2 linked regions of the Tribolium castaneum genome follow. The protein of the gene in region 1 binds, or shares a complex with, the protein of each later gene. Links are inferred from orthologs where the notes say so. Each region holds a gene or a part of one and is shown in the gene's direction. Other genes may lie near its edges.

Region 1 (3,823 bases):
ACTTACCTTGGACAATAGGTATAGACATAGAACAGAGGTTAGGATGTGCTTTCAATGCTAACAGCTGTTTTCTATCACATACCACTAAACAAGTTTGCAAAAATCAGCAAAATAATGGTGTTACAATAATACGGCGAAACAAAATCTCAGAGAAAAGACGTTTAGAATAACTAAAAACTAAAAAAAAAAAATAAAAAAATGTTATTTTTAGCAAAAAGCTTTTATTTAAAAGATGCACTAAAAAATAAAAAATAATGTTTTTCTATCAGAGGAGAATATTTTTGCTTACAAATTAGGATTTTAAAATTTATAAAAGCTTTGGGAACAGTGTTCAATTTAAGAAAGTAATTCTGTAGTGCCGTATTGTTATGACATGACTTATGACCGTTCCTAAAGCTTTTATAAATTTTAAAATTCTAATTTGTAAGCAAAATTATTCTCTTCTAATAGAAAAACATTATTTTTTATTTTTATTAATTTTATTACTTTCTTCACAATACAAATTTTATTTTTTCACAAGTGTGGCTAGCGATTTTTCTGATTTTTGCAGAAAACAAAGCTTGGCAAAAGAACTTTGGATTGTAAAAAATGGTGAATCGACAGTCACTTGTTAAACCCTTAACGATTTTTTTTCAAAATATCATCTCAATACAAATTTGATTTTTCTTTCATTTGTCAACTCGTGAAGCGATTTTGCTGTTTTCTGGAGTAAACAAAGCTTAGCAAAAGGGCCTTTTCTTTAAAAAAACAACAATCACTACTAAGGGCCTTAATGAACATTTTTTGTTTTTTCAATATATCTTCACCGATACAGGTTTTTTTCATATGTGTAATCCTGTCTAACGAGTTTTCCTGATTTTTCGGAAACACAGCTTAGTAAAAGGACCTTCGACTGTGAAAAATGAGCCAGCAGTCACTAGTTAGGGCCTTGTTCCTAGTTTCTTTCATCGTTTTTTAACCGGAAAAAAATTCCTTTCTTTCAACCATTGACCAATTTTCGTGTTGTATCATTAAAACGAAGCAAAAATTATAAAAATTGGTTGAATGTATCACCACACATACTCGTATAGTGACATAATCCCCAGATTTATAGTCTCGCCCCATTTCTGATCCCACTTCCCGCATGTTTTTATTCACGGCACACGTTCAAGCGTAATAAAAACGGTGATATTACATTCATTCGTATGACATCAAAATCACTCCCACATAATTTCTGGATCTAATGAATTCGATTCAAGGCCAGTCCAGATTCCAGTTGGTTTCCTTCCAACTTGCCTATAGTTGGGTTCATTTCGAAGCGATCGAAAGTGGAACATGCTGCTGTCATAAGCGAAATGAATTGATCGCCTCGTTATTGCACCCGACTTTTATTTAATTGACCTATAAAAGAGCGAACAAAACAGATGCGTTTGCTTTTGCGCGAAATAGGTCAGAGTTGTAAAAACTTTCTTAAACTGAACTAGAAGAGAAATTCATTATTTTTGTCTCAAGTTATTTCTTCCAAATCTAAAATAAAACTTGCGCGCCGGCCAAAATTACCAAACTGAACTTTTGGTGTGGTTTGTTACAGAAATCTCAATGGACTGGTCGGACCATGCCCTGTGGTGGCCCAGCAAGAACATTTGGTTGACGCGAACCCGCTCAACCCTCGACCAATACGGCGTCCAAGCCGATGCCCTTTTGCACTTCACCCCCATGCACAAAAACTTGCGCGTCCAACTGCCCGACTTGCGCTACTTGGACATGAAAGTGGATTTTTCCGTAAAAACATTTTCGGCCGTTATTCACTTGTGTAAAGACCTGGGTATTAGGCATCCGGAAGAGTTGTCGTTGTGCAAACCGCTCGAACCTTGCCATTTGAAATACAATTACAACTCGATGCCAAAGAAGAAAGTTGAAAACGGGGTTGCGAAAAACGGGCATCCCAACCTTCCGCCAGACACCAACACCTTCATCGCCAACAGCAGTCCCGATGGGAGCACCGGGAGCTTGGACAAGAGTGGGTTTATGTGCGCTCCTGTCACACCCTCGAGGCCTCCGCCCTCCTCCACACCGGTCAGCAGTCCTGTGGGAAATGTAATTTTTTCCCGATGGTTTTTACTAACACTTGACTTTGCACTCACATCTGTTTTATTTCATTTGTTCGAAAAAATGCAAGTTTGAAAGTGAAAGAAGCGAGTCGAAAGCACAAAAAATTCGCACTTGTGCTTATCAAAGATGTTTTGGGAGAAAAAAATATTTTTGTTAAGTCATTTTTCAAAAAAAAAACCTCGAACAGGTCAGTTTTTTTAAATGCTACATTTCAACTGTATAGTGACATTTATGACGTCATTGGTTTTTGAGTAATGACGTCGTTTTCAATTTTTTTAAATGACATTTTTAATTAGTGTTTTGGATAGTACAAATCATCTTTCTGGTAAGTACTCGTATAAAGAAAGTAAAAGAAAAACAAAAAAGGAGAAAAGTTAAAAGTTAAAAAAAGGTTTAGAAATTGTATACAAAGAGCTTTATCTTTCTGATCTTACTTTATTTTTTACACGACTGAGCTCTATTTGATTATTTACGACGCCTGTTTCCAAGACAGTAAGTACATGGTGTTTACTAGTTGCTACGTCCAAGGCGTCGTTAACATAACCTGGTCTTGACAATTATTTTGACATTATTTAATAAATCTTAAAAAAAATATAAAGATCGTGCAAAAAACGTCATAAGCATCACGAACGTTAAGGATTACTGATCTCAGACAATAATTGTCTTAGATTGGTAAAACCACCTTACTGTTCTTGATACTTAATATACTATTTATTGTAAGAAGTGATTGTTTTTGTTTGTGTTTAGATTTACGTTGCATATGTTTTCACGCTAACTATTTAAAAATTCATATCAAAAACAATACATGAAGCAAGAACACACAGATAATGCTTTTTGTGTTTAGTTGTCAGTAATTGTTTTATTTATTTATTTTTTAATTTCATTTTTTTTCTTATTATCAGAAAGATATAGATGTGTATATCCTATTTCAGTTCATATTAGAATTTTGTAACAGCGCATTTGAGTTTTCTGAAGTGAAATAAAGCCCAAATTAATAGTTTCTGCATAAGAAAAGAATTCTGTCCTAAGCTAAATCCCTGCGGCAAATTTTGAGCCAAGAAAACCACCAGGTACTTTCAATTTGTGTTCCATTTCACTCCAAAAAGTCCAAATTTATTGTTGCTAAATTTTACTATAAACTGAAGTAGGATATACTAGTGTGGATATACGAGTACTATCTTTACACTAAATGAAACTGTCAGTTGTCATTTAAAGAAAATATAAATGACTTCATAGCTCAAAAACGAATGACGTCACAGATCTCAAGATAAAGCATTTAAATAAAAAAATAGACCTGTTTTTTTAAAAACAGATTTTTTTTAAAAAATGACCATTAACAAAGATATGGATTTTGTGTGTTAGTTTTGATTCAGTCTGTACATTTCGAATAAAATGACAAAATTGCATAAAATCATCAATTTAGTTTTATGGTGACATTTGTAAAAACGGTGTCAATTTCTTTTTTTTAATGGGGTCTTGTATAATTTTTTGCATCATTTAATAGAAGATTTACTTTTAATTTGTAACACGTGTCACAATATAATAAATTAATAATAAATACTAGTAGAAAAAAATAAAAAAATATTTAGATTATTTTAGGTAAAAAAGAGCTACATGATAAAAAAAACAATTATTAAAAACTTTTATTTACAAATTTAAGCAATGAAATAGTTTTCATAGGTAGTTAAGTTTTTTTTTGAAATTAACTACTATTTAGATTACGCAATTCTTA
Region 2 (4,570 bases), on another chromosome or scaffold:
CAATTTTACAGAAACCTGTAATCATGTTTACTAACAAAAAAGAATTAATTTTAGTTCGTGTCTAAAATCAGCAGTTTTGGAGTGTTTTAGTTACATTATTAATTAATTAAGTGTTAATGTTAATGCTAAAAAATGGGAATAATTAAAACAAAAAATTGCAAAAAATCAAAACACGTTCCGTTAAAGAATACTTGGTAATTTTTTATTTTAAATACAATTTAGGAAATAAAACCTTGTTTAAAAGTTATTTTTAAAAGTATGCGCCTTTCTGGACACGGTCGCCAACCCAGCAAATCTCCTCCTCATGGCCCACTTCCTTTAAATGGTAATTGTTGGTTTCTTGAACGTGATTGGTTGCTTTGACAGTTTTCTTGTTTTCTTGCTCTTAGCTTGCATGAAGTGTTGAATTTTTCATTTTTCTGGTTGTTTAAAAGTTTTAAAATATTGTAGACTCTTCCGAATAATTGTTGGTAAGGACTGGAATGCTATTTTGAGTTTATTAACCCCTGTTCTCTTCAGTAGGCCTGGAAATAAATTAGTTACATATCGTGTTTTTTCTTCAATTTCCAGGTCTTACGACGAGTTGGAATTAACTGTACAGCAAAATGTCACCAATTCCAATGCCAGGGTAAGCATTCTGTTGTATTACGCAACTGTTAAAAGTTAAAGTAATTCATTAAAAAGTAGGCGTTGCCTCTTTAGTTGGTTGGTTTAATTCCGGAAGTTGTATCATTATTACTGTACTTAATAGTACAAGGTATGTTCTAAATTATTCACTCTGTATATCATTGATCCCCCATATTACTTGTATTAGAAATTTCACTTAAAAAAATGACCTATGTTTTGTATGTCAAGGTCATTTTTTATCAATAATGCCGTAATTACTGATAATCTCTAATTCATGTTTTTGTTTTCTGGATAAGAACGTGTTATAGTCACAAAATCGGAACTGCTGAAACAAAATCAATTGTTTCAGTTACAATACAGGGTGTCTCACCTAACTCTTCCATCTAATGTGACGTCACCATAAAGCTGCTGGACGTTTTAGTTCTTTTTCTATGATCAAATACTCAATTTTTTTTATTCCAATTCGTAAAATTGCACTAAAATTCAATATTTTCAATAATAATAAATATAAAAATACTGCATAGCTCGTTATAAAAAAGAAATAAAGTATAAAACATTAGTGTACAATACATAAAAGATAAGATAAGACAAGAAACGTCAGTATAATTAGAAAAAAATTCTTTTGCTTTGGATTTTTTATTAAACTGATAGAAAAAATAAAAAATTATAACCAAAAAAGCTATTAGTGTTTTAATTACTTCCCCTAGCAACGTGTTTTAAAATAAAATTTTCTATCAATAACACTCATACGAAAAGTTCTCGCATACGCTCGTTGCATAAGAAAAAATGGTGCGAAAAATGTAAAAAATACGAGATTCGTGCCAGGTCATATTTTTATTTACTTTGTGACGTCATTTTGCAATTAAGAGGAAAAGTTAAACACTTAGCAACATAAACACTATCTTTAGTCACAATTTATCTGTGGTTTCCGGTTGTGGTAACGAATTTTTGACAATTATTACCTTTATTATAATAAGCTTCTAACACTCACTCGTATAACTAGACCTACTATTACGTTTTGTTGGACTTGACGATATCTATACGATTTGTTGATTTAAGCCATAGATTAGATGTAGTTTACAAGGGGAAAAATCTTTTAGAGTGTTCGTGTGACATACATTAGATCAATGTTTTCGAAAATAGACTTGTCCCCAAGTATCCCATCACTGGGTTCAATCTCCCAAAGTAGGCTGTTTCAAAGAAGGGCCAACTCGAAAGATGATCTTTCAGAGGAATATCGCAGTTTCCAAGACATTGACTACGAATTTATCGACAAATCCGATTTACAACAACATGGCTTTTCACGCACGTAATAATTTTCACTCTTATTTATTATTAATTGTGGTTTTTTGACGAATGAAAAGAGATTACAACATATCGTATAACCCGTAAACAAGTGAGTGCTGGTTTCTAGGGTCACTTCGACCATGTCTCTGGACAACATGCTGTGTGCCCGTTGTGGCGACGGTTTCGAGCCGCATGAAAAAATCGTCAATTCTACTGGACAACTGTGGCACCAGCAGTGTTTTGTGTAAGTATTTTTTTTTTAATTTTTTTTTTTTTTTTAATAAAAAATCTCCAGCTGTGCCCAGTGCTTCCAAGAGTTTGATGATGGGATTTTTTACGAGTATGACGATCGCAAGTACTGCGAGAGAGATTTCCAGATTCTCTTTGCTCCGTGTTGTGGAAAGTGTAATAATTTTATCATCGGGCGGGTCATCAAGGCCATGAATGCCAGCTGGCATCCGGAATGTTTCCGTTGCGAGATGTGCGAGACGGAATTGGCGGATACTGGATTTATTAAAAATGCAGGACGGGCTTTATGTCATGAATGCAATGCCAAGGTTAAAGCCATAGGGTCGGGGAAACACGTCTGCCACAAGTGCCAGTAAGTATAATGACAGGAAATGGTTTTCATTTCGAAAAATTAAATAAAGGCGAACGTGGAGCTGTTTTTTTCTCTTTTTCTAGCAATTTTGCGAAATTTTATCAAAATTGGTCGAAAATTGCCTTGTTTTTGAACGGCTGTTTACTTTATTGTTTTCAGTCGAAAACTCAATGATTTATTTGAACAATTACTAAATGGGGGCAAAAATAAATATAAATTTTGCTTTTTTCGTCCGTATTTTACATTTTTTAGAGACTTTATTATTAATATTTTTCCAAAATTTGGTGGAAAAGACAATAAATGACCAAAACAGAGCGAAAATTGTGTGATTTGACCTCTTTTGCGTTAGCCAAAAATAACCAGAAAAAAAGTGGAGTGGGGTGGTGAGTATTTGAGCTAAAAACTGAGTTATTTTTGCAAGATTTTTCAATGTCAATCCGAAAAGTCACCAAATTAGATCGAAACTGATCCTCATACTACCTTTTTCAAGCGTTTAAACAAGGTTTTAAGATAAAAACCGATCGTTTTTCGGCTTTTAGTTCAATTTTTGAGCAATTATTTCGAATTTCGCAAAATTGCTCGAAAATCAATCGAAAATTGCGTTATTTTTGAACAGTTGTGCACTTTATAGTGCTAAAAACTCGAGAAATTAAATAGCTTTTAATTTTTTTGGACGCTTTATTGCAACTTTCTTCAGTCTAAAACTCAATTGTTTATTTGAAAAAAAAAAGAAAGACAGTTTTTCGTTTACAGAAACGACTATATTATTAATTTTTTTTTCAAAATTTGGTGAGATAGACGTCAAAAAATTTGGTCAAAGCGAAAATGGTGTGAAAACTGCGGATTTTTTTTAATGTGAGGCAAGAAAAAATGTTTTTATTGCCTTTTTTGGCCGTTTTTGTGCGTTTTCTTTGCATAAAAGTAAAATAATATTATTTAAAGTTGGAGATAATTTAGCTAACGGTTTGATATAGTAGTACATTACGTCAAAAATTAATTTGTTTTTTTTTGTTTTTTTTAAGTCTCTTGGCACGTTTTCCAATAAATTTTATTTTAAACATGTTTTACTGCTTTAATCTATTTTTTTTGTGGGAGATATTTGATATAAATCCACCGACAAATCATAAAATTTTGGTCGAAAATTGCGTTGTCTTTGAACGGTTGTTTACTTTATTGCAACTTTTTTGAGTCGAAATTATTTATTATTATTATTTGAACAATTACTAAATAGGGGCAAAAATAAAAATAAATTTTGCTTTTTTCGTCCGTATTTTACATTTTTTAGAGACTTTATTATTAATATTTCTCAAAAATTTGGTGGAAAAGACAATAAATGACCAAAACAGAGCGAAAATTGTGTGATTTGACCTTTTTTGCGTTAGCCAAAAATAACCAGAAAAAAAGCGGAGTGGGGTGGTTTAAACAAGGTTTTAAGATAAAAACCGATCGTTTTTCGGCTTTTAGTTCAATTTTTCAGTAATTATTTCGAATTTTGTTGGAAACAAATCGATGAAACACTAAATTCGGTCGAAATTTTCGCTAAATTTTATCAATAATCAGTCGAAAAACTTTAAAATTATCTCAAAAAGTGGTATACTCGTATTTTACCTTTTTTGTGAGGTAAAAACTTTGTTTTTCTAAGATTTTCTTTCTTGTTCTAGCAATTTCGCAAAATTGCTCGAAAATCAATCGAAAATTGCGTTATTTTTGAACAGTTGTGCACTTTATAGTGCTAAAAACTCGAGAAATTAAATAGCTTTTAATTTTTTTGGACGCTTTATTGCAACTTTCTTCAGTCTAAAACTCAATTGTTTATTTGAAAAAAAAAAGAAAGACAGTTTTTCGTTTACAGAAACGACTATATTATTATTTTTTTTTCAAAATTTGGTGAGATAGACGTCAAAAAATTTGGTCAAAGCGAAAATGGTGTGAACACTGCGGATTTTTTACAATGTGAGGCAAGAAAAAATGTTTTTATTGCCTTTTTTGGCCGTTTTTGTGCGTTTTCTTTGCATAAAAGTAAAATAATATTATTTAAAGTTGGAGATAATTTAG

Evidence for each region.
Region 2: unc-112-related protein (region 1) and stck share a complex: the UniProt entries of both Caenorhabditis elegans proteins name them as parts of the integrin containing attachment complex. The link is inferred for Tribolium castaneum from reciprocal best matches to the Caenorhabditis elegans genes unc-112 and unc-97.

What each region holds. Positions count from the first base shown.
Region 1 is NC_087396.1:10,390,126-10,393,948, forward strand, and holds part of unc-112-related protein, read left to right. Parts: intron 1-1,570; coding exon 1,571-2,076; intron 2,077-3,823. UniProt on the Caenorhabditis elegans protein: Component of an integrin containing attachment complex, which is required for muscle development and maintenance. Probable regulator of cell-extracellular matrix adhesion. Required during initial muscle assembly to form dense bodies and M-lines.
Region 2 is NC_087400.1:2,455,358-2,459,927, forward strand, and holds the start of stck (LIM and senescent cell antigen-like-containing domain protein 1), read left to right. Parts: upstream 1-1,754; coding exon 1,755-1,936; intron 1,937-2,041; coding exon 2,042-2,158; intron 2,159-2,209; coding exon 2,210-2,515; intron 2,516-4,570. UniProt on the Caenorhabditis elegans protein: Component of an integrin containing attachment complex, which is required for muscle development and maintenance. Probably function in adherens junction.